Coturnix japonica: one gene and its partners. The protein of the gene in region 1 purifies or fractionates together with the protein of each later gene. This does not show direct contact. Links are inferred from orthologs where the notes say so. Each region holds a gene or a part of one and is shown in the gene's direction. Other genes may lie near its edges. The genes, in order: EZH1, AEBP2, JARID2 and PHF19.

What was found.
Region 2: the proteins of EZH1 (region 1) and AEBP2 purify together in Homo sapiens (affinity purification with mass spectrometry; 3 studies listed by BioGRID and IntAct, with this or other methods). This does not show direct contact. The link is inferred for Coturnix japonica from reciprocal best matches to the Homo sapiens genes EZH1 and AEBP2.
Region 3: the proteins of EZH1 (region 1) and JARID2 purify together in Homo sapiens (affinity purification with mass spectrometry; 4 studies listed by BioGRID and IntAct, with this or other methods). This does not show direct contact. The link is inferred for Coturnix japonica from reciprocal best matches to the Homo sapiens genes EZH1 and JARID2.
Region 4: the proteins of EZH1 (region 1) and PHF19 purify together in Homo sapiens (affinity purification with mass spectrometry; 4 studies listed by BioGRID and IntAct, counting the BioPlex papers as one, with this or other methods). This does not show direct contact. The link is inferred for Coturnix japonica from reciprocal best matches to the Homo sapiens genes EZH1 and PHF19.

Annotation. Positions count from the first base shown.
Region 1 is NC_029542.1:4,628,812-4,634,325, reverse strand, and holds the start of EZH1 (histone-lysine N-methyltransferase EZH1), read left to right. Parts: upstream 1-1,710; 5' UTR 1,711-1,991; coding exon 1,992-2,038; intron 2,039-2,591; coding exon 2,592-2,712; intron 2,713-2,840; coding exon 2,841-2,969; intron 2,970-3,162; coding exon 3,163-3,282; intron 3,283-3,812; coding exon 3,813-3,933; intron 3,934-4,446; coding exon 4,447-4,620; intron 4,621-4,965; coding exon 4,966-5,068; intron 5,069-5,318; coding exon 5,319-5,482; intron 5,483-5,514.
Region 2 is NC_029516.1:59,185,170-59,190,092, forward strand, and holds part of AEBP2 (zinc finger protein AEBP2), read left to right. Parts: intron 1-2,447; coding exon 2,448-2,555; intron 2,556-4,923. UniProt on the Homo sapiens protein: Acts as an accessory subunit for the core Polycomb repressive complex 2 (PRC2), which mediates histone H3K27 (H3K27me3) trimethylation on chromatin leading to transcriptional repression of the affected target gene.
Region 3 is NC_029517.1:67,735,971-67,740,893, reverse strand, and holds part of JARID2 (protein Jumonji), read left to right. Parts: intron 1-1,657; coding exon 1,658-2,675; intron 2,676-4,923.
Region 4 is NC_029532.1:6,765,795-6,771,508, reverse strand, and holds the end of PHF19 (PHD finger protein 19), read left to right. Parts: intron 1-32; coding exon 33-101; intron 102-716; coding exon 717-837; intron 838-966; coding exon 967-1,034; intron 1,035-1,130; coding exon 1,131-1,443; intron 1,444-1,553; coding exon 1,554-1,639; intron 1,640-1,715; coding exon 1,716-1,811; intron 1,812-1,867; coding exon of another isoform or gene 1,868-1,897; coding exon 1,898-2,249; 3' UTR 2,250-3,791; downstream 3,792-5,714.

The DNA of each region.
Region 1 (5,514 bases):
ACGGTGGAGCAGGACGTCCCCGGAGGGTTCTGCTGGAGGCTCGGGGTCGTTACGGCCCCAGCCCCGTGTTCATGGCGCCGTGTGGCACCTGCCCCGGGGGCACGGGTGGGGCTGGAAGGGACGGCGGCGGTACCACGGGTGTGCGAGCCTCAAGCAGGCAGGAGGAGAGGATGGGGCGAGGGACTGTGGCTGCAGAGCTCCTCTTCATCCCGTGCCACCTCGGCTCCCACCTCAGGGCAGCGCGGTGCTGGCTCTGCAGGGTCCCCACCCGGGGATGGAGCTCAGGCCACGCGAGCTCATCTAACTGCTTGCCAAAGGCTGAGCTCCAGCCCAAAGCTTTCCCTTTAAAATCCACTCATGGGACTCACAGAGCACAAATCACACAGCAGAGAATTGCAGTTCATGGGGACCCTCCCTGCTTTGGAAGGATTCTATTGCTGTGCTGCACATTCCTGCTGCAACACACTGCACGTGCTATGTGCAGGCTGAGGCAGCCGCCACCCTCCTGGCACTTGGGAGCCCTTCAGCGGTACCGGGAGCCCACGAGGCTGCGGCACAAAGTCACAGCCCCATTCTGCACTTTGTTGTCACAGCCCTGGAGCTGCAGCCGGCAGCAGGAGCCTCTGCCAGGGTGACACCCGGTGATCTCAGCCGGCCACTCCTTGCACAGCCGGGGCAGTCTGCCAGCACCCACTGCTCCCCAGCCCCATTTTGCAAGCTCCCCCCAGCCCTTGGCTGCAGTGCTGTGAGGGGGACTCGACTGAGCAGCGGGGGAAGCATTTCCCATGTTCTGGGCTGGGCTGCAGCCGTCCCGAGCCCTGCTGCCAGCCTCGGCCCATGGCACAACGGGCACAGACGCAGCCTGGACCCCGCCTGCTGCTTTGACTCGCTCTGCAGCTGCCCACGTTGCGCTCTGGGGCTCAGCGCAGTGTGGGCAGTGAGGCTGCGGGGGTTGCGCTGGGTCCAACCCAGACCCCAGGTTCTGCCGGTAGTGGGAGCAGGAGCCGCAGCCCCGACGAGCATCTTCCCACCGGCTGCAGCTTCCCCCCGTGCCGGGGCGTATCACCGAGCTCATCTCGGCACCTTCCACCCGCGCTCAACCCAATGTCAGGGAAGGCGGAAGGTTCTGCCCGACTCAGCAGGACGGGCTCAAAGGCAGCAGATACGGCCAGGACCGGGGCTGAGCTGTGGGATGAGCAGCCAACGGCCCCGCTCACTGCCCGGACAGGGACCCGCGGGTTCCCCCCGCTCCTTCCGGCTGGGCGGAGGGGAAGGAAGGAAGGAAGGAAGGAAGGAAGGAAGGAAGGAAGGAAGGGGCCCGGCCGGGAGCGCGGCTGGGGAAGGGAGCGCCCGGCCGCAGCCCCGAGCAGAGCGGGGCCGGGCGGAGCCGAGTGGAGCCGGGCGGGGCCGGGCCGCGAGCGGCCGGTTCCGGTGCGGGGCGCCGCCCTTCCCGGTCGGAGCCGCAGCTCCGGGGCTGCACCGCGCGGGGCGGGGCGGCGGCGAGGGGCGGGGCTACGGCGGCGCATGCGCAGTGCGCGGGGAGCGCGGCCTCCCCCGGCGCGATGGCCGAGGAGTGAGTGCGGGGCGGGGCGGGGCCTGGGGTCCGGCGGGGGGCGGGGGGCGGCCCGGCACGGCGGGAGGGGCCCGGGAGGGAGCGAGGGGTCGGCGGGGGTGGGGGATGGAGCGGGGCGGTAGTGCCGTGGTAGTGCCGTGGTAGTGCCGTGGTAGTGCCGTGCCCTGTGGGGGCTGGCGGCTGCTCGTAGGGGGCAGATCTAAGTCCCCTGAGGCCCCGTGGGGCCCCGTGGGACCGTGGGCTGTTGTATGGGGTGCGCCGGGCCCGATGGACGGGGCAGCGCCCGGGGGTTGGGTGAGGCCTGGGAGCGGGCACCGGGCGGGGCAGCGGCTGAGGCCTGTCCCGGACACTCCGCAGTGTCACCGTCCCGGCAGCCACCGGGGGTCCCCGTGTCCCCTCGTGGCTGGAGGCTGCGGTGATGGGGGCCCAGGGAACCCCCGTGGGTGGAGTGGAGCGGCCCGCTGGGTACGTACAGCCCGGGCCGGGGACTCAGACTCCTGGATGGGAGCTGAAGCGTCCCTTGGGCTCACAGGGCGATGCCCGATGCCCAAACCCCCGGCTCCAACTTCTCCATCAGGTCGCACTGTGTATTCCCAGCCAGGAGCTGTCCTGTGCTGACAGCCTGCGCAATGTCCTTCCCAGCCTCCTGGCAATGAGATATTCTGAGCTGGATGTAACACTGCTCCTGACATGTTGGCCTCCCAGCGCCCTGTGAATCGAAAGATTACAAGCAGGAAGGAGAGCTGCTTGGACAGCGACAAGACAAGGGGGACTGTCCATAAGCTATAGAGGGCAGGCTTAAGTCAGATGTGAGGAAGCAATTCACTCCTCAGAGGTGGTGAGGTCCTGGCACTACTGCCCAGAGAGCTGTAGGTGCCCAAGGCCAGGCTGGGTGGGGCCCTTGAGCAGCCTGAGCTGGTGGGGGCACCCAGCTCATGGCAGGGGATGAGGCTGGAGGGGCTTTAAGGTCACTTCTAACTCATCGTTCTGTGAGTTTATTCTTACTGTATTTTCATAGAAAAATGGAAATCGCCACTCCTCCAACATCAAAGTGTATTATGTATTGGAAAAGAAAAGTCAAGTCTGAATATATGCGTCTCCGGCAGCTCAAGAGATTTCAGGCAAACATGGGAGCAAAGGTAAAGACACAGTGGCTCTGGTTGGAATGATCTCTGCTATAGACTTCAGTTTGCAGTATTGGAGCTTTTATCAGATGAGTGATGCATGATGAGAACTGTGAAGTGAGTGCTTCTTTCTCTCATTTCAGGCTCTATTTGTGGCCAACTTTGCAAAGGTTCATGAAAAGACTCAAATACTTAATGAAGACTGGAAGAAGCTTCGAGTTCAACCAGTGCAGTTAATGAAGCCAGTCAGCGGGCACCCCTTCCTAAAACAGGTAGGGAGAGCTGTGTTAGTATCAGTCTGTGCCTAGCACTCTTTCATGGTGCAGGGTAAAAACAGCTTTTACTGTCAAACACGGTGAGTGAACGCAGCCTTTGCTATGTTTGCCCTGAAGTGCTGTTTCTTTCTGTGATGGTGACAATCTCCCAGAGGCTGCTTCCTCACCGTCCTTCTCACTTCTACCCTAGTGTACAGTTGAGAGCATTTTTCCAGGATTTCCAAGCCAGACACTGTACATGAGGACGCTGAACACAGTGGCGCTGGTGCCTATCATGTACTCGTGGTCCCCCCTTCAGCAGAACTTCATGGTAGGTGGGAATACTCTCTGGTGCAAGGTCTTTGTGAGATTATTGTGTAACCGCAATGTCTGCTCAGGAAGACATGGTAGAAAGTTGTGTTGTGTGCTTTCCCTCCAAGCATGCAACACAACTTTCCCTTTTGCTCCCTGCTAAAACACTCCTCAGCTTCAGATGTATTCCTTCTAGAATGAATTGTCGTTTTGCCTCCTTCACTGTTCCAGTTTTACTCTCTTAATCACTACAACTTTGACATTTTTGGCTCTTCATTGTTCTTGGCAGTGTGTGTGTTTCTGTAACCTTTGGATACTGTTCTCTTCTTTTTAACATCAAATGCATTTTTTGAGGTTAGAGTTATTCTGATAGAATGGGATAGCAATGAAATGGCAGTGGTGAGACACATGAAATTTGAGCTGGGGAGGCTGAACATTTGCTTTATGCAGTGTTTTCTGCATGCAGTGGACGGGAGCAGCCTTAGAGACACAGCTTGGCTGGGAATTAGAAAGCGCTAGTTTACTGAATTGTATCTAATTGCTTTTCAGGTGGAGGATGAAACTGTTCTGTGCAACATCCCTTACATGGGAGATGAGGTGAAGGAAGAGGATGAAACCTTCATTGAAGAGCTTATTAATAACTATGATGGGAAAGTTCATGGAGAGGAAGGTAATTTGGGAGCAGAAACACTTAGCAGTTCAGTTTCTTGCAAGTAAGATATCAAAGTAGTTAAGAAATCACAAGATGGTAGCAGTAACCATCTTTTATCTGAGAGCACTAAGAGCAGAAAAGCAGAAATGCGTGCCTGCAGTTCTGGTTTATAAGGATGCACTCTTGGCTTTTGATCCCCCACTCTGTTCTAGACTCAGGATTAGGTGGAGTTCAGCACCGTCATTTCACTTGTGACCCTAGCCATGACTTGAAGCTTTTCAGAGACAAAAAGTCTGCATGCTTTCCTAGCTCATCATAAAACTGTGTAGAGGGTGGAGTGCAGCAAAAAATTCTGTTGTATGGGCTATCTTCAGGTCTCCAAAAGTGTTACAGCACTCTTAGGGCTCCAGAGCATTAAAACTCTACCCGTCCCTACAAAATCACCAGGAAAGTTTTTGTTTATAACTGTGTTGTGTGGCTGAAGAACATCAGTGGCCCTCCTACAGACTGACTGACATCACTGTATTTCAGAAATGATTTCAGGGTCAGTCCTCATCAGTGATGCTGTCTTCCTGGAGCTCGTGAATGCCCTGAATCAGTACTCAGATGAGGAAGAGGAAGGACACAATGATTCTGAAGTCAAACAGGAGGATGGGAAAGAGGAGCTGCCAGTCACAAGAAAAAGAAAACGAATTGCAGCGGAAGGTGGGTTTGGCTACAGAAATTAGTCGTGTGTTGGTCGTGTTTGCATCCTACTTTGCCTGAGGGAACACCAGAACTTCTTGCAGATGTAGAAAACTAATGTATGTAAATCCTGTCCAGGTAAAAATAAATGGTGATATTCCTTAAGAAATCAATATATTATCTACTCTGAAAGCAGTGGAGTACCATGTGGAAGTGCTTTAGCCTGCTTTCAAGACAATAGGTTATGTGTAATTGCATTTCTGTCTCTTAACCTGCAATCCAGAGCACCTGGAATCACTCTCAGGAAAAAGGCAAGTTCTATTCATGTGCAGCGTAACTGAGGAGTCATCTCTTTTTTTTCCGTAGGTAACAAGAAGTGTTCCAAGAAACGGTTTCCAAATGACATGATATTCACTGCCATTTCTTCTATGTTTCCTGAATATGGCTTCCCAGATGACATGAAAGAGAGGTAGATCTCTCCTTAAGTTGTTTGTTACTTTTGATAGGGGCAGTTAAAACGTGCATTTCAGAAAACAGCGCTGCGCATGTAGAGCTCACTTGGCTTCAGACACTCTGGGAAGGTCAATTTTTGAGTATTACAAACTTTGTTTTAGCTTAAAGATATCCAAACCAGAGTCATAAGATCTGTAGTCACGTGAAGTCCTGTTAAATGTCCCAAATTAGGAAAGCATACACATCTGTGGGTGTTTGTTGAATAGGTACCGAGAGCTCACAGAGGTGTCGGATCCGAACGTGCTGCCCCCGCAGTGCACTCCCAATATTGACGGGCCATGTGCAAAGTCAGTGCAGCGGGAGCAGTCCCTGCACTCCTTCCACACGCTCTTCTGCCGGCGCTGCTTCAAATACGACTGTTTTCTGCATCGTAAGTGCAGGCTCACTGGGTACTTTCCTTTT
Region 2 (4,923 bases), on another chromosome or scaffold:
AATACTTGGAATTAATTTTCTCGTAACTTCTAGTGTATGTGCTACTGCGTGTTAACTCAGGCTAAGTCACATCTTGTTTGTTTTTACAAATGGGAGTCTTGTTATTAATAAAATATATATGGGTAGATATAAGAAGTAAGACTGGTTGTCTTGGAAGTATGAGTCTTAGCAGAACAGTTCTGTTTGTAGTACTGGTGGCAGGTCTTACACCTTCAATGTGACTGCACCTAGTTTATTTTGTTTTTAACTGAAGTATGTATTTAAGTTTAATATCTGGTTAAGTGGTGTGGTTTTGGTAGGTCTCACAATTTTAAGGTTTTAAATAATCTCTAAGTAGTGTGATATTAACTCTGCACTTCTCCAGTTGTGTCATTGTGACTCATTGGCTGCATTTAGTTCATGTTAATTGTTATGGCTGAACTTCCAGCTTGATATTTAGTGACTTTTTTCAGTCCAAACTCCAGGCAGAATCATCTGACCAATGTGCCAGCTTCTTAGTCACCCACGAGACAGACTTTTGTAGTTCTGTTTGTGGGTTTATAAACGTGTTACGTGTATCCTGGATGAAACAATTAAGTGGATGAGATGTATCAGTATCCTGTGGGATTTCATATAAATGCATCTTTGGTGACCTTTGTCCCACCCGTGACCCCTTAGAAAGAGATTGAAAAACCTGAAAAATGTTTCATGCTTACGTTTGGTGTGATTTGTGGATATTTTTACTTAGAAAACGTCACTGTATTCATCTTTCTGAAAGAGACAGCTGTAGGTAACGCTGTGTGCCTGATTATTGTGTTCAGTTCACACTCCTTTTATTCCCCCTGGTGGAGTTGATTTATTTGTTGTAAAGTTTCTCCACTGGACGCTCTGCAGGGGAATGATGCTGGCTGTTTTCTTCCAAGGGTTGGTTCGCCATCTGCTGGTGAGGCGGTTAAGTGGTGCATCTTCTAGGGATTTTCATTGGATTTCAAAACTTAATCAACTCAATGAATATAAACGTGAAAGAAGTAGTAAAAGCTTACTGGAAACTTATAAGCATGCTTATCATGTTGCATTTATGGTGGTAATATGTGTATTTTCTAAGTTAATATTAAGATAGCAGTTCTACTCCATGTAGAATCATGAATGTCCAGGATACTCATTTCATACTAGTGGAATAATAGTTTTACCTCCCTGAAATGTTTTGTTAGAAATAGTTTGGATTCAGCCTTCAGAGATGTGTTCCCAAAAAGCCTTGCTGGGGTTTCTTGTGGGTTGCTGTAAAACCTAGTGCACGTTTTCTGAGGAGGTTGTGTTTCAACAACCTGTTGTTTCATATTAGTTCCTTTCTGAGTGCTCTGCAGTTGATGATGGAGATACTGGGACAATTAATGAAGTGTTTTGTTACCAGAAATCTGAAAATTCCAGTTCATTGGCTACAGGAAGACTTTAAAAACTGAGAAACAGCAGACACCAAAGCATCAGAAAGTTAGGCCTCATGTCAGTAGACCTTGATCAGTCACATAGGCGTACAAGGTTTTCCAGCTTTGCATTAGTAAGTTGGGCTGTCTGTATGTTATATAGCAAGCACATAGCACTCCTCTGGCTATTCTTTTGTTTTGGAAGTACAGTCTTTTGAAGGTTCAGTTTTTTAATCTCTGAAAGAGAACAAGAAACTCAAATCCAATTAGCTGCTTGCAGTTCTGAAAGGTATTCTGAAAGTATTTTGGACAATGCTAGTCCTGGGGACTGTATTCTGCTGCTAAAAATTAGGGCTGTACCTCCCTTCACACACAGGCTTGTTGAGGAATTTCTGATGAAAGCCAAGTTCATTGAGCTTTTTTTATTCTCTAGGTTATAGATAGACACAATGAGAGGAGAGAGAAAAGCAGCATGAGTAAGTTCTACTCCCTTTAATGCACTATTGTGCGTGTGACTAATCTGTACATGGAAATAGCTAAACACCCATAGATTTTGAATCCTATGGAAGATTTTAACTTTATTCATCAGGAAGTGAGCTTAAAACCTTAACTAGGGTTATCCAGTATTCTGTAGTATGAGACTTATATTTAAACAACTGTGTTTTAATTAAGGCTTTAACTTTTCTTTAAGAAGGCAGTTATTTCTTCCTTATGAGATGAAACCATTTTATCCTTTATATTTTTGCTATCCAGAAAACGTGAATTTCATCATATAAAAATTCTACATCTCAGTGCTTGGGTGATACTGATACACAGGGCAAGTGCAAGCTGTGGCTCTTGGTTGTATTTATCTGCAGGATTGCCTGGCTTTTTATGTTTTATTTTTGACTACTTGTGGTTTCAGTTGTTTTGGCCTTGGTGAGATGAGAAGCGTGTTGCAGAATAAATGCTTGATTCAAAATTCTTTTAGCATGCTTCTTTGCTAATTAATTTTTTCTTACTGTTTTCGTTGACTTGTATAAACTGACCATATTTTTACTTTATCAGGTGTTTGTTTGCTTGTGGAAAGGTTGCAAAGTATATAATACACCTTCAACAAGTCAAAGTTGGTTGCAGAGGCATATGCTGACACACAGTGGGGACAAACCTTTCAAGGTAAGATTTATAGCAAGGTATATTATCCTTTATTTTATGAGAAATCTCTTTATTTTTCCTTATATAATGTATTAATTGAAAAATGCTGTCACAGGAGGATTTGTTAAAACTTACCAAGTGAGATAAACTTGTCTTTGACACTACCCAAAGATTCTGTTGTTATGAAACACAATTGAAGATACTGCTTCTCTGTCCCTGTTCTTTTAAACCTGTGAACAGTAGGGTAATCTGAACTAAAATAATGCTTGTGTTCAGTTACTTGTGCTTTTCAAAGCTGAGCTGTTTATGGTGTAACAGCGAGATGCTTTGCCTCATGCTTCACGCTTTGGTTGGTGCCTGATGGTGCTCATTCTGTTCTTGAATGAGCTGTTTTTGTTAACAGTATTCATTTGAAACAGTCAGTGTCTGTGTGTGGTTAACTTCTCTGAGAATGATAAGGAAGTCAGGATTGCAGGACCATTGAGCTGACTGTATTACCTGCGTAGTATTTTCTAACTTTCTCTTTCTTTCTTCCCCTAATCTGTACCTGCAATTCTAGGTATAGTAATGTTTATCATTCCCATATCCACCAATCCGTTATTAATGAGTTGCTTCATCCTCTTATGGATACAGTTGGGGCAGTTCATAGCTGTCAGTCCTGGATCACTTGATGGTAAGTCTCACCCACGCTACTTCAGATTGAAGTTCTTCCATCTAGGGTTTGAAAAATGAATGAGGGTACTTTTTTATTACATCTAGGTAGCATTTTATACCTTCCTTCCCCTTCCTTGCCCCAGCCCATCAGGTTTTAGTCACTGCTTCTCTGCTTCTGTTTTCTGTCTTGCGTAACGTTGTCTACTTTTTTTAAATTTTAGGGCAGTTTTATTACAAAAAAGTACTTTCCCGTTACAGTGACCTCTCTCAGAAGTTATTGTTTCTGCACAGCTTGTTATAGTAGCTATGACAGAAAACTATACTCAAAACCCAGAGGGTGAAAATAGTTCAGTGCAGGTGAAATATTATATATATATATATTTCCCTTCCAAACTGCTTAGTTTAGTATGAACATTTCATACAGAATGAATGGCAGGGAGTAAATTCTGTTCTTGAGATTATTGTATTCTTTGTTCAAAGGAATTAAGTTAGCATGCTGTTGGAAGCTAGCGTAAGGATCATAGATCTCTGAAAGAAGCTTTCAAATATGATTGTTCCAGTAACTGATCTGATTATAACTGCAAATCCTTGAATCAAACTTGAAAATGAATAACTGGGGGAAACTTGTACCTTCTTTCTTCTCATTTTAGAACTGGGGGTGTGCTTTAAAGTGCAGTGGCAGGTTTTGGTCTTATGAGTCTTCTGGTAGGTTAGTTTGTGTACTTGCTTGTTATAGATCAAAGAAACTCAATGTAGAGATACTGAGTTTAAAAGAGGAGAGTATACCTCAAGAAAAAGAGTACTTCTTGAGTCTTAGGAGTGTTATCCAGCCAAGTGAGTAAAATTAATATCTCAGGTTTTGGGTTTTTTTGGTGTTTTTTTTTTTGGCTAACCTCTTCAAAGCCCTGCAGTTTCAAACAGTTGGTTCTGATAATAAACATCTTGTGTTAAGTGTGGATTATTTCCCCAGCTAGTTTCCCCTGGCCACCCTTGGGGAAAGAATAAAACATAGGCTGGATTTGCAGTAGTTTATTGTTGTAGCTCAAAGTGTGTCATTTCCTTTTGTTTTTTTTCCCTACCGTTGTCTTCAGTGTTTCTGTTTGTATTTTATCTTTATATTTTCCAATCTGTTCCTGGGAGCTTTGGGTGGAGGATAATTGTGTTGTGAACTTAGTAAAATTCTTTTGTTCCCCCATGAATGTAGTCCTCTGAGCCCACGTGATGTGATTGTGATAACCTGTTAGTTAACTAGACTCCTTTCTTCACTTGATTCCTTACTTTTTCAAGCTTTTGAAATCTGTCTGATAGAAAATCACTTAAGAAATAACACGAAGGATCAGCTGTTGCTTTGTCTTACATCAGTTCAGAACCAAAATGGTTTTGCATTTTAGCTGTTCTTATAAAACTTAATTCCTCACATTTCTAGCAGAAGCCAAAGTTTTTCGAGTTAGAGTTGTATTGAAGACCTCGTTCTTGATTATCTAAATTAAAAAAATAAACACCTAAATTAAAAAAAAAAAATGAACAAAAAAAGAAAATCTATTGCTTTGTAAGCTCACACTGGAGCTCTAGCTTATAGGAAGGAATCATCAGTTTAGAGGACTCTGAAAAATGCCAAGGCATTCACTCTTTTGTTCATAAACAAATGCCAGAATTTGTGAGGGGTTTACTTAGAAGGCAGTAGAAATGACAGAGCTTGGTTCTGTTGTCTGAAGAACTGCTCAGGGTGGTTTTA
Region 3 (4,923 bases), on another chromosome or scaffold:
TCTGTTGTCCTTTCTCTGGTATTGTCATATTTTAGAATTGAAAACACATTTCATAATCACTGTCATCCAGATTACCTTTCCCCTTCCAGTCCTTAATCAATTCTTCTCAATTAGTCTGGATCAAATCTGTAATCAATGTTCCTGGCTGTTTATAAAGCCAGAGTTCTTGTGCTGACAGCTGCAGGCCGGAGGCAGTGTCTCAGCAGATCTCTACCTGTGTCTGTTCTACACTGTAAGAAGGCTCTGTAAAAGTCAAACCTGGCCTACATTTCAAATTCTGCTGCCTAAATTTCAAGGGAAAATGGTAAATACACACTTAATGGGAGACTGTAGTGTGCTCTTTTCAGTCAGTCATTTTATCCCTATTTTATAACATCCCTATTTTATAAAGTGATTCAATTTCTTGAATTCTTTATTTGAAGGTACCATGCTTACTGATTTGACAAGCATTTTGAAATCCCACAGGAAAGTACTGTAGCTTTGTAGAAATGGTGCTCCTTACCTGAGTGCCAATAAGGGGCGATTGTCGTATTGTATGCACATTTATCAGTGTTCCTTTGGTTTTTGAGTGTATTTTTCCTTGCTTATGGTAGTTTAAGGAGGTCAGAGAAAGTGTTCAAACTTGTTTAAATGGTTTAACTTTCTAAAGGTTTAATCTTGAACTTTCATTTTCTTAGCAGTGGGGCTTGCTTTGACAGTGCTGAGCTGTCACAATTCCCTTTGAAGCTGAAGGCTGCTTTCTGAAAGGGTGGCTCTCAGTGTTTAACATGTCTTATAATTAAAATACTAATTTTAGTTTTGTAATTGGATTAAAGTGCCTAACAGAAAGAAATGGAGTCCAGTTCTTGTAAATTGCAGTGGCACATTAGTGAGTAATGATGAGTCAGTAAAACTGCCCAGATATCAAACTTCATAAACAAATACACAAAACCACCTTTTAAAAAATGCACTGAACTCCCGTATGCATTTTTATTTCATGTTAATAACTAAAGCAACAAGACACCTCCCTGGCTTTAATGTATAAGACAGACTGGATCCCTCATGGCTGTCCTGATCTGTTGGGTACATAATGTGTTCAATATTTATTTCTATATGTAGGTATGTGTGCATAGAGAGGAGGTTTGTGTGAATCTAAGTGTGTGGTTTTTGCAAAACATGCAGGTTAGAGTAGATGTTACACACTGGTTAGTCTGTTTACTACATAGGAAACTATGTGTGCCCTTAAAGGAAGTTGGGTGGGTGAGGGAATAGCCTTTGAGGTCTGGAAAAGGAGATAATAACAGTATTAGTTTGTAGATAGTGTAACTTGTTTTTTGGTAGGGAAAGAAGAGGGTATTGCTAGCAAGTGACCTCACCCTTCTTAGTACCAGAGGCTTCATACCCTCCAAAAGCAAGATCACCTTTCTGGGGACATCTTGGTTCATTGTAGAATAATAATAATAATAATGTGTATTTCATATTCAGAACACCCAGTCTTTCCTCCTGCCTGGGTGAAAATTATTATAGGAAGATTGTACAAAAGGGCCAGGAGTCAGGACTGCAGAATATGGTTGTCCAGTAAGTGGGAAACTGTGGCGGACTGGCAACCTCATTAATTTATTTTTCTGTTTTATGTTTCCTTCCTTCTGCTCCCCCTGCGATGCTCCTGGCTTTGTAGGTTTCTAAAGTCAACGGAGTCACTCGAATGTCATCTCCGAGTGCAAATGCAGCCAGTGCCAAAAAGATGAGAGACGTCAGACCTTCACCGTCCAAAACTGTGAAGTATACTGCAACGGTGACAAAGGGAACTGTCACATACACCAAAGCCAAGAAAGAACTGGTCAAGGAAACCAAACTAAATCACCACAAACCCAGTTCACCTGTCAACCACACAATCTCAGGGAAACTAGAAAGTAGCAATGCAAAAACCCGCAAACAGGTGCTATCCCTTGGAGCATCCAAGTCTAACAATACCGCTGTTAATGGTGTAAAAGTCAATGGCAAGTTGAACCAAAAGACATGCACTAAGGAGGTGGGGAGACAGTTAAGGGAGGGGCTGCGCAATTCGAAGAGGAGGCTGGAAGAGACTAATTACATAGACAAAATACAGTCGCCCACCAAGAGAATGAAAGGGGCAGTCAACTTGGCAGAAGCTGCGAGCAAAAAGGCAGTTGTCGAAAAGCCTTTGCTGAATGGACACCTTAAAAAGGAAGTGCCAGAGAAGAATTTGGAAAGAAATAGGCCGAAAAGAGCCACTGCTGGAAAGAGTACGCCAGGGAAACAAGCACATGGCAAAACTGAAAATGCCTCCTGTGAAAATCGTTCTACCTCTCAAGCGGAGTCCTTGCACAAGCCACAAGACTCAATGGGAAAGCACGAAAAGGGCAGTAGTAAGTCTGGGTGGGGGATGCTGGGGGAGATTCCCATCCTTAGGCCCTCCACCAAGGAATTTCATGACCCACTGATATACATTGAGTCAGTCCGAGCTCAGGTAGAGAAGTATGGGATGTGCAGGGTGATTCCTCCTCCAGACTGGAGACCTGAGTGCAAGCTAAACGATGAAATGCGGTTTGTGACACAGATTCAGCACATACACAAGCTAGGCAGGCGCTGGGGACCCAACGTGCAGCGGCTGGCCTGTATCAAGAAGCACCTCAAATCTCAGGGCATTACCATGGACGAACTCCCACTCATAGGTAAGGGCTGTGGTTTCCTTGGCCTTTTGCTGCTGCTTGTTAGAGTCTGTGTGCTAGTTTATGCTCCGTTTGCCTGTATGCTTAACCAAACCTCTGTTCAATTAACACTGCAGAGCCTGGCTCTCTCTCTTTGTCCACCAGTCAGATGTGGTGCAGGTAGGTCGTGGGAGAGCTTTGCTCAGAGGCTTTGCATTGCCACCTTCCTCCTTCCAGCTCTGTTTTGCCCAGGGAAAAATGCTGTTACAGCATCCTGGTCTTCAAATTTCAGGATCTTCGCCCCTACTGTTTATTTTATTAAGTAGTACAGCTGTGGGTATTAATAGTCTTCGTTTAAATGTTATTTTGGAATATTCTTGGACAGTACCAAAGACGTATTCCAAACAGGTTACAATGCTGCCAAGCTAGAATACAAATATTTTCCCCCCTTTCTATAAAAGCATTTAACCAAGGGGAAAAAATATCTTGAAACTGATTTCTATTGGGGTACTCAGACACTTCAAATCACAAATTTGCAGTGACCTGCTGACATTTAACAACCATTAAGTGTCAAGAATAGGCAGTAAAATGTGGTTGATTGCAAAATGGAGGTTTCATTATTTCTCGCAGCAGGTGTCTGCCAAGGCTAATGCCTGAGTAAGAATCACTTATTTAATAGAATTCTTGGTTTATGGTCTGCTGTCAAATATGACACGTGACAAAAATGTGACAATAGTTTGTAAAAACATGACAACAGCAGCATACAAATGAACTGTTGAATGATTCACCTCCATCTCAGCTGCCTTTGCAGCCATGACATAATAACAAAGTTTTGTTTCCAATTTGTGTTAACCTTCTCCTTTGTTTTTGAAGTGTTTTGAGTCAGAGCACACAGGATCTGCGTGTTGCAACTTGAGGCTAGAGTTTTGCCTTTGAGGCATTATCCCATCAGAGGCAGCTATGAACACTAGTTGGATTAAAGGACACACTTTTCTGTTTAAACTGTTCACAATGCTTCCCTCCCCTCTCCCTTCCACCCACCCCCATATTTTAAGACTTTGTTTTTACGTATGGTAAGTGGGTGCACATGCATAAAAGCACACGGAGAGATGATGAGGTTCACGGTGAACCAATGAAGGGCACAAGAGGGAATGATGGTGTCGGAGGAGGAGGAGTGAGGGTTAGTGCTCTGTTGCAGCAGCCACGCAAAAACGTTCAAGGAAATCTGAAAATTAAAATCACTCAAGCAGCAATAAGTGAACATTTTGTATGCTTAATGTATGCAATGGTTATATGCTAATAGAGACGAGTAATGAATTAAATTTACATTGGCGAGAGTGAGAAGAAAATGTGCAAGACAGCTCGATTAACACTCCTGGAACAATGGTAACTTTTTAATGAAATACCTTAACTCGGCATTAAGATAGCATTACTGTTAATTATTTTTATTATTTAAGTACCTAAGAGCCTAATTAATAGGCAAGGTTTCTATTCTGCTGGGTGCTATATAACTGGAGCAAACAGCGATCTCTTATAAGATTTGCATCCTGTATATCCTTTCTGCAGTAATTTTGTAACCTATCTTGATTTAAAATTGAAAACAAAATGGAGTAAAGAGGCTGGAGATCATCACTGTGCAAAGATTAGAAAACTGTTGGCTCTGGCAGGAAAGATATAAAATCATCCATGATGATAAGTGGGTGCTTATATAAGTAGACATTCATACACACTCCCCCCTTTTGGGGCCAAATCACATTTCCATCGAAGCAAATGCAAGTTTAGCCAATAACTTGGCTTGGTATTAAATGCATACCTAAAGATTTAAGATTTTTTTTAATTTTTTTTTTTAAAGGGCTTGCTCATTTAGAAATATTCCTAATGTAGTGAAATTGAGACTCTTTTTTTTTTTTTTTTTTTTTTTTTGTAGACTCTTTTTCTGTAACATGTGCCAGGTCTTGTATTTTAGCCACTTTGCTATAGGCACTTTAGAAATGAGCTTAATGAATTATTTTATTTTGGTTTATCTTTTCCCTCTTCGACCTTCCAAGGAAAGTTTAAGCAACGTACTAAGGCCAGTCCTGGAAAACATCAGCATGAGATATAAATGCTTCCAAAAGCTCTGACTGCGTAAATGGAATTATAATTGAGACCATTTTGTAAACCTGAGCTGTAGCTGGCCCTGTGGAGCATCTGCTGGATATATGGGATTTGATTGAATGATGTGATACTTACGCTCTTATATTGCAGAGTGATTATGAGCTATCATTCCATT
Region 4 (5,714 bases), on another chromosome or scaffold:
CCCTCATGCTCTCCATCCCCACTCTTTTCCAGGTTCTATGTGTTTTTCTGCTCCGTGTGCAACCAGGGACCTGAGTACATCAAGCGCCTGCCCCTGCGATGGTGAGAAACTGACGTGGCCCCGTTGTGCTGTGCCGGGTCCCCATTGGGTTTGTGGGGCACCAGTGTGCTGTGCTGTGCTGTCAGGGAGCCAAAGCATGCTTTCACCAGGAGATAACTGCAAAAAGCAATTTGGGAACGAGCCATCGAGTTTTAAGATTAAATATAAGTTTCTATGATACTCCATAGTGTACCTTGATGATCTGAAAGCACTATGTAAAATATCTTAACACTGCTAGCTGCACTGGGGGCGTTGCATAGAGAAGCACTGGGTGCAGAAGGGAGATCCTGAAGGATGTGCTGCTTGGCTTTCACTTATGGAGATGTAAGTGTGAAGTCCCACAGGAGAGAATGTTTTGTAAACAGCCCATGTGTGAGTAAGAGCCATCCTGCTCCTGTACTGGAGTGCACTGAGAGCGCATGGCTGGAGCTTGGAAGAAAGCTGCAACACTGAGTGTCTGTCCTGGGACTGGTGCATCCTTGGACTCCTCACCTTGGGGCTGATGTGGGGTCCCAAGACACGGAGCTGCTGTCATTGTGCCCTGGGCCAGCATTGCTGGCAGTGAGCTGCTCACTGCTCACTGCTCTCTGACCTGCTGGCCTTGGTCACTCCTGCAGGGTAGACGTGGTCCATCTCGCCCTGTACAACCTGGGTGTGCAGAGCAAGAAGAAGTACTTTGACTTCGAGGAGATCTTGGCCTTCGTCAACCACCACTGGGACCCTCTGCAGCTCGGGAAGGTAACGCCTGTGGGTGTTGAGTGTGAAGGGTCAGAGCCTCAGGGGCACAGGGACGCAGGGGGCAGGGGGCCAGAAGGGGCTGGGGTGGCCATCCTGCCCTGAGGAGCTCAGGCTCGTGTCTCCCCACAGCTGACAGGTACCCCTGTGTCTGAGCGCGGCCCCCACCTACTCAATGCCCTCAACAGCTACAAGAGCAGGTGAGTGCTGGGCTGAGAATGGAACAGTGCATGGAGTGCTCCTGCCCTCCTGGGGTCCATTCCTCCCCCCCAGGCTGAAGGCTCCTGCATCCCCAGGTTTCTCTGTGGAAAGGAGATCAAGAAGAAGAAATGCATCTTCCGCCTGCGGATCCGCGTCCCACCAAACCCCCCCAGCAAAGTGCTGCCAGAGAAGGCACCGGGTGAGAGCGGCTCCTGTGAGCAGAAGAGGAGAGGGAAGAGCAGACATAAAGACAGGTGGGAGCTGCCCAGCACTGTTATGCAGCCCCAGCCCTATGTCTTGCCTTTTATCTCTGCTTACAGCCTGCTCCCAGGGCAGCTCCAGCAGCAGAAGCGGCGTGCGGTGCGGCGGAAAAGGGCCAAGTTCCTGCTGGAGGACGCCATCCCCAGCGTGAGTCCCTGCGGGCTTTGGGATGGCCATGGGGGAGGGAGAGCTGTGATGGCCGGGCAGGGGGTTCTGAGCCACTTTGTGGTGTTGAGGTGATGGCTTTTGTGGTGCAGAGCGACTTTACCTCCGCCTGGAGCACCAACCACCACCTGGCCAGCATCTTTGACTTCACACTGGATGAGATTCAGAGCCTGAAGAGGTGAGTGCTGCCCAGCTGTGGTGCTGGGGGAGCTCTGAGGTGCGGGGCCGCGGGGCCGACGCTGCCTCCATCCCAGCGCCAGCTCGGGGCAGACCTTCCTCTCTGACGTGGACTCCACGGATGCTGTCAGCACCTCGGGCTCAGCCACCACCAGCCTGTCCTGCGAGTCCAGGTGAGGGCTGCAGCCCCTTCACCCCCTTCCTGAGGAGCTTCTATCTTCCCTCACAGCACCCCATTGCCTCTCTCCCTGTCCTGCAGCCGGAGGACGGTGGGCAGCCGTAAGCGCAAGCAGACAGTCCTGACCCCCCCCTTGGCACGGCCCAAGCGTGGCAGTGGGGCTGCAAGCAGGCAGCCAGCAGTGGGCAGCCCCCAGGGCAGCGAGGTGACGTATGGGCCTGAGCGTCCGGATGATGGCATCGACAGCCACACCTTTGAGAGCATCAGCGAGGACGACTCGTCGCTCTCACACCTCAAGTCGTCCATCAGCAGCTACTTTGGGGCTGCGGGGCGGCTGGTGTGCGGGGAGAAGTACCAGGTGCTGGCACGGCGTGTGACGCTGGAGGGCAAAGTGCAGTACCTGGTGGAGTGGGAAGGGACCACCCCCTACTGAGCACCCATCCTTCCAGTCCAAACACCTCTCCTGGAGCTGACAGCTGAGCCCTTGGGTGCAGCCAGGCCTTGGTGCAGCACAGGAGGAAGAGAAGGAAGAGGAGGAGGAGGAGGATGCCCCGTGTTTGGCACCCTGGCTGCCTGGAGCTGTGAGGGGTAGATCCCCTCTGCCTTTTTATTGTATTCCTTTGACAACTGTTATTTTATCAGCCCCGTATATGTAAAGAGCAGCGCTGTCCTGCTTCAGCCTTCAGTCACACCGGAGGCACCAGAGGAGTGGGGCAGCTCAGGCCCCTTCTGCAGCACGGGGGCTGCGTGGGCTCCGTGTGGGCTCAGCCTGCAGTCACCATGTCCGGGTTGGAGCAGTGGTCTCACAGGGACCCAGTGCTAAAGCACCACTGCTGTCACACCATGGAGCTCAATGGCTCATCCCTACACCATAGGAAATGGCAGGTGATGCCGCAGCCCTTCCATGGGCTTTCCCTTCTCATGCCATACCCATTCATCTGAGGAATGAATTGCTCTGAGGGGAGGACACCCTACAAATGGCTCAGACCCCATCCCATGGCCTGGATGTGCTGCATTCCCCATCCCAAACAATCACCTCTTGGCATGGCTCAGCTAAACACACACACGTGCCTTAAACCAGAGCGGGCACCACCCGGACTGCTCTTCATTCCTTGAGATGCCCATTCTGCAGTGCCAAACCAGCCAAGAAACCAAAAAGGCAGCAGGGTGCTCCCCCAGCCCATGGGGTTGTCCCTGTTGTGGGCATGCTGCTGCTTCACCGTGTGTTTTCTATATAGAAGGAGAATGAGAACCCCTTGTTGTCTAAAGCAATACAGTCACTTTGTTCAGGAGCAACCTTTTAAGTTCTACTCTCAGATGTAATCATTAGGTTCTTTCTAAGATCCGCTGATGTGTTTGAGCTGCAACACCCTGAGTGCTGGGCACAGCAATACAAAGACCTGCAACGCCTTCATGCTGTGCCACTGGTGCAGTGCTCAGTGCAGAGCTGTGTGCTGAGCTCTGTTCAGCTGCAGCCACGGCGCAGTTTGCATCTATTCATCTGAATGGAGCTGCCTCCAAGAGGCCCCAGTGTTTTGGCAGAGGTTGCTGCCAAGACCCCACCATGCCTGGTGGGGAGCACCATGTATTTCCATATCACGAGTGCCTATGGAGCCCAGGTGACTATCCCAGTTACTGCCTGGGGGGCTGGGGACTGCCAGGAGCTGCACCCAGACCAACCCCATGGGATGTGCTGGGAGAACATGGGTGACCCCAGCTTGGCAGCTCCCTCCTCCTCTCCCTCTCCTCTCCTCCTGGCCTATTGCAGAGAACTGAATATGGAGCCTTTAAAAGTATTTTTGTTTCAGAATATATTTTGCATTAGTTATAATAGATACTATAATGACTCTATGCACCTTCTAAAGATTTATGGTTTCAGGCTGCTGCTTGTAATAACCGACTCTTGTTATATCCAAGTTGTAATTAATATGTCTGATGTACAATTATAAAGTCTTTTTTTCTTCTTTTTTTAACATCACTGCCTCTTTGTGGCACTGAGGGGTCAGTGCGTGGCCCTGGGCAGCACCCCATGCCTGGGTGGTGCTATAGAGAAATGCTGCTAAGCACGGGGATGGCAGGACGATGCAAACAGCTGTGCGTGGGTACAGCCCAGTGACCATTTTCCCTGCTATCTTGTTTCCTGCACCTGGGAGCCCTCCTTGCACTACCTCTAACTGCTGCTGGGGACACACCAGCCTTTGGGCACAGCTCAGTGCCTGCACCACATCCCCACCACCTGTGATGGACACCGACAGAGCCCTGACAGGACCCTCCTGCCCTGCTCACTGCACCGTGCACTGCAATGACTCATGAGGCTGCAGGTAGGAAATGCTCTGGTTTATTCCCTTCCCAGCCACACAATAGATTTATTTCATAACTTGCATCCAATTACACAACACGAGCATCATTTTCTAAGGCTCAGCTTGGTCTGGGGAGAAAGCAGCGAGGCTTTGCCCTGCTGGCTCCTGGGTCCCTGAATGGGGTTGCTTTGCCCAGCTCAGCCCAGCTGACAGGCAGGGCGCTTGCTAAGGTTCAGCCAGTGCCATGTGTGTGAGTGGCACCCGCTGCACCATCCCCAGGTGCTGCAGGGCAGTGCTGCCAGCACCTCCAGGCAGCAGCAGCCCCATGGTGACCTTCCCCATTGCAGTGCTGCCTCCAGGGCCAAGCCAGGGAGGGGACATCTCAAGTGCAAATGACATTCCCCATCTCTATGCCCTGTGCTGTAGCACACCCCTGGGGATGTGAGCTGCTCCCCTGTGTCACTCTGTGCACAGACACCAGCAGAACTTGTCTCATCGCGTCTCCTCAAGAGCAGGGAGGTTTCTGGGCTGTTCATTCAATCCCGTGGGACGTTTTCTCCGATCCACTTGAGGTAGAGGGGGTTTCCTTGGTCGATAGGCAGGCTGATGACTTCAGGGATTTCAAAGGGATGGATGGATCTAAAGTGGAAACAGACGCAGCGGCGCAGTGCCACGGCCACATCCCACAGCAGGAACAGGCTGGCGGTGCAGGAAGCAGCGTGGTGCGTGGGCCCTGCCCCGGGCCATCCCCCCTGACTTCAAAGCACTTTGTGCCACGTGGGAATTCTGCTTTGAGTTTGAGGTTTACCACAGCCACCAGCTGTGCTCAGCACTCAGCGCGTGGGGTGGACAGGAAATCTGCAGATGGGGGGGACCTGCAGACCCTTGAAGCCCTCCTTGTCCCATGCAGGGAGCCCGATGTTCCCAGCAGCCTGCTCCCAGCTGGTGCTGTGCTGGAGCTTTTCTGGCTCTCAGAGTGTACCCAGCAGTGCCTTAGAGCTCTCCTGGGTGGGACTGGTCTCGAGGAGACCCAAAGCCTGAGGATGAGATGGCTGCATACTGCAGATAGAAAGCCCCGTGCTCACCTGACATAGTTGGACAATTCACTTATTTTGGACGTCCTTGTTTTTACTATCTGCAGAGAGTAAAGAAAAAAGAGTAAAGAGAAGGAACAATCCTGAAGGCACAGCTCCACTGCACCCCCCATGCACCACTGCCATGAGCCTGGGGGTACTCGGTTTCAATGCCACCCTGCAGCCCCATTTGGCTTGGGCTCTGGGATGGGAATTGCTGTGACTTGGGGAACTGTCACTTACCAGCAGGATTTCAGTGGATTCTTCCAGTTGCCCTTTCCAAAAATACCTGTATTTAAAAGGAAAGAACCATCAGCACACCCAGCTATGGGTACAGCCTTGCTGATCTCCCTGGCGCTCCCTGCATGTGGCTGTTCCTCTATGAAGTGGTGCTGGAGAAGCATCACTGGTCCTAAATGCTCATGATCCAACATTTGGAGCTCTAAGACCAGGGCCACTCTTGCTGTGCAAGGTCTGAGGGAGCTAAGGGTAGCAGGGCAAGGTGAGGTGAACCCTAACCCTAAC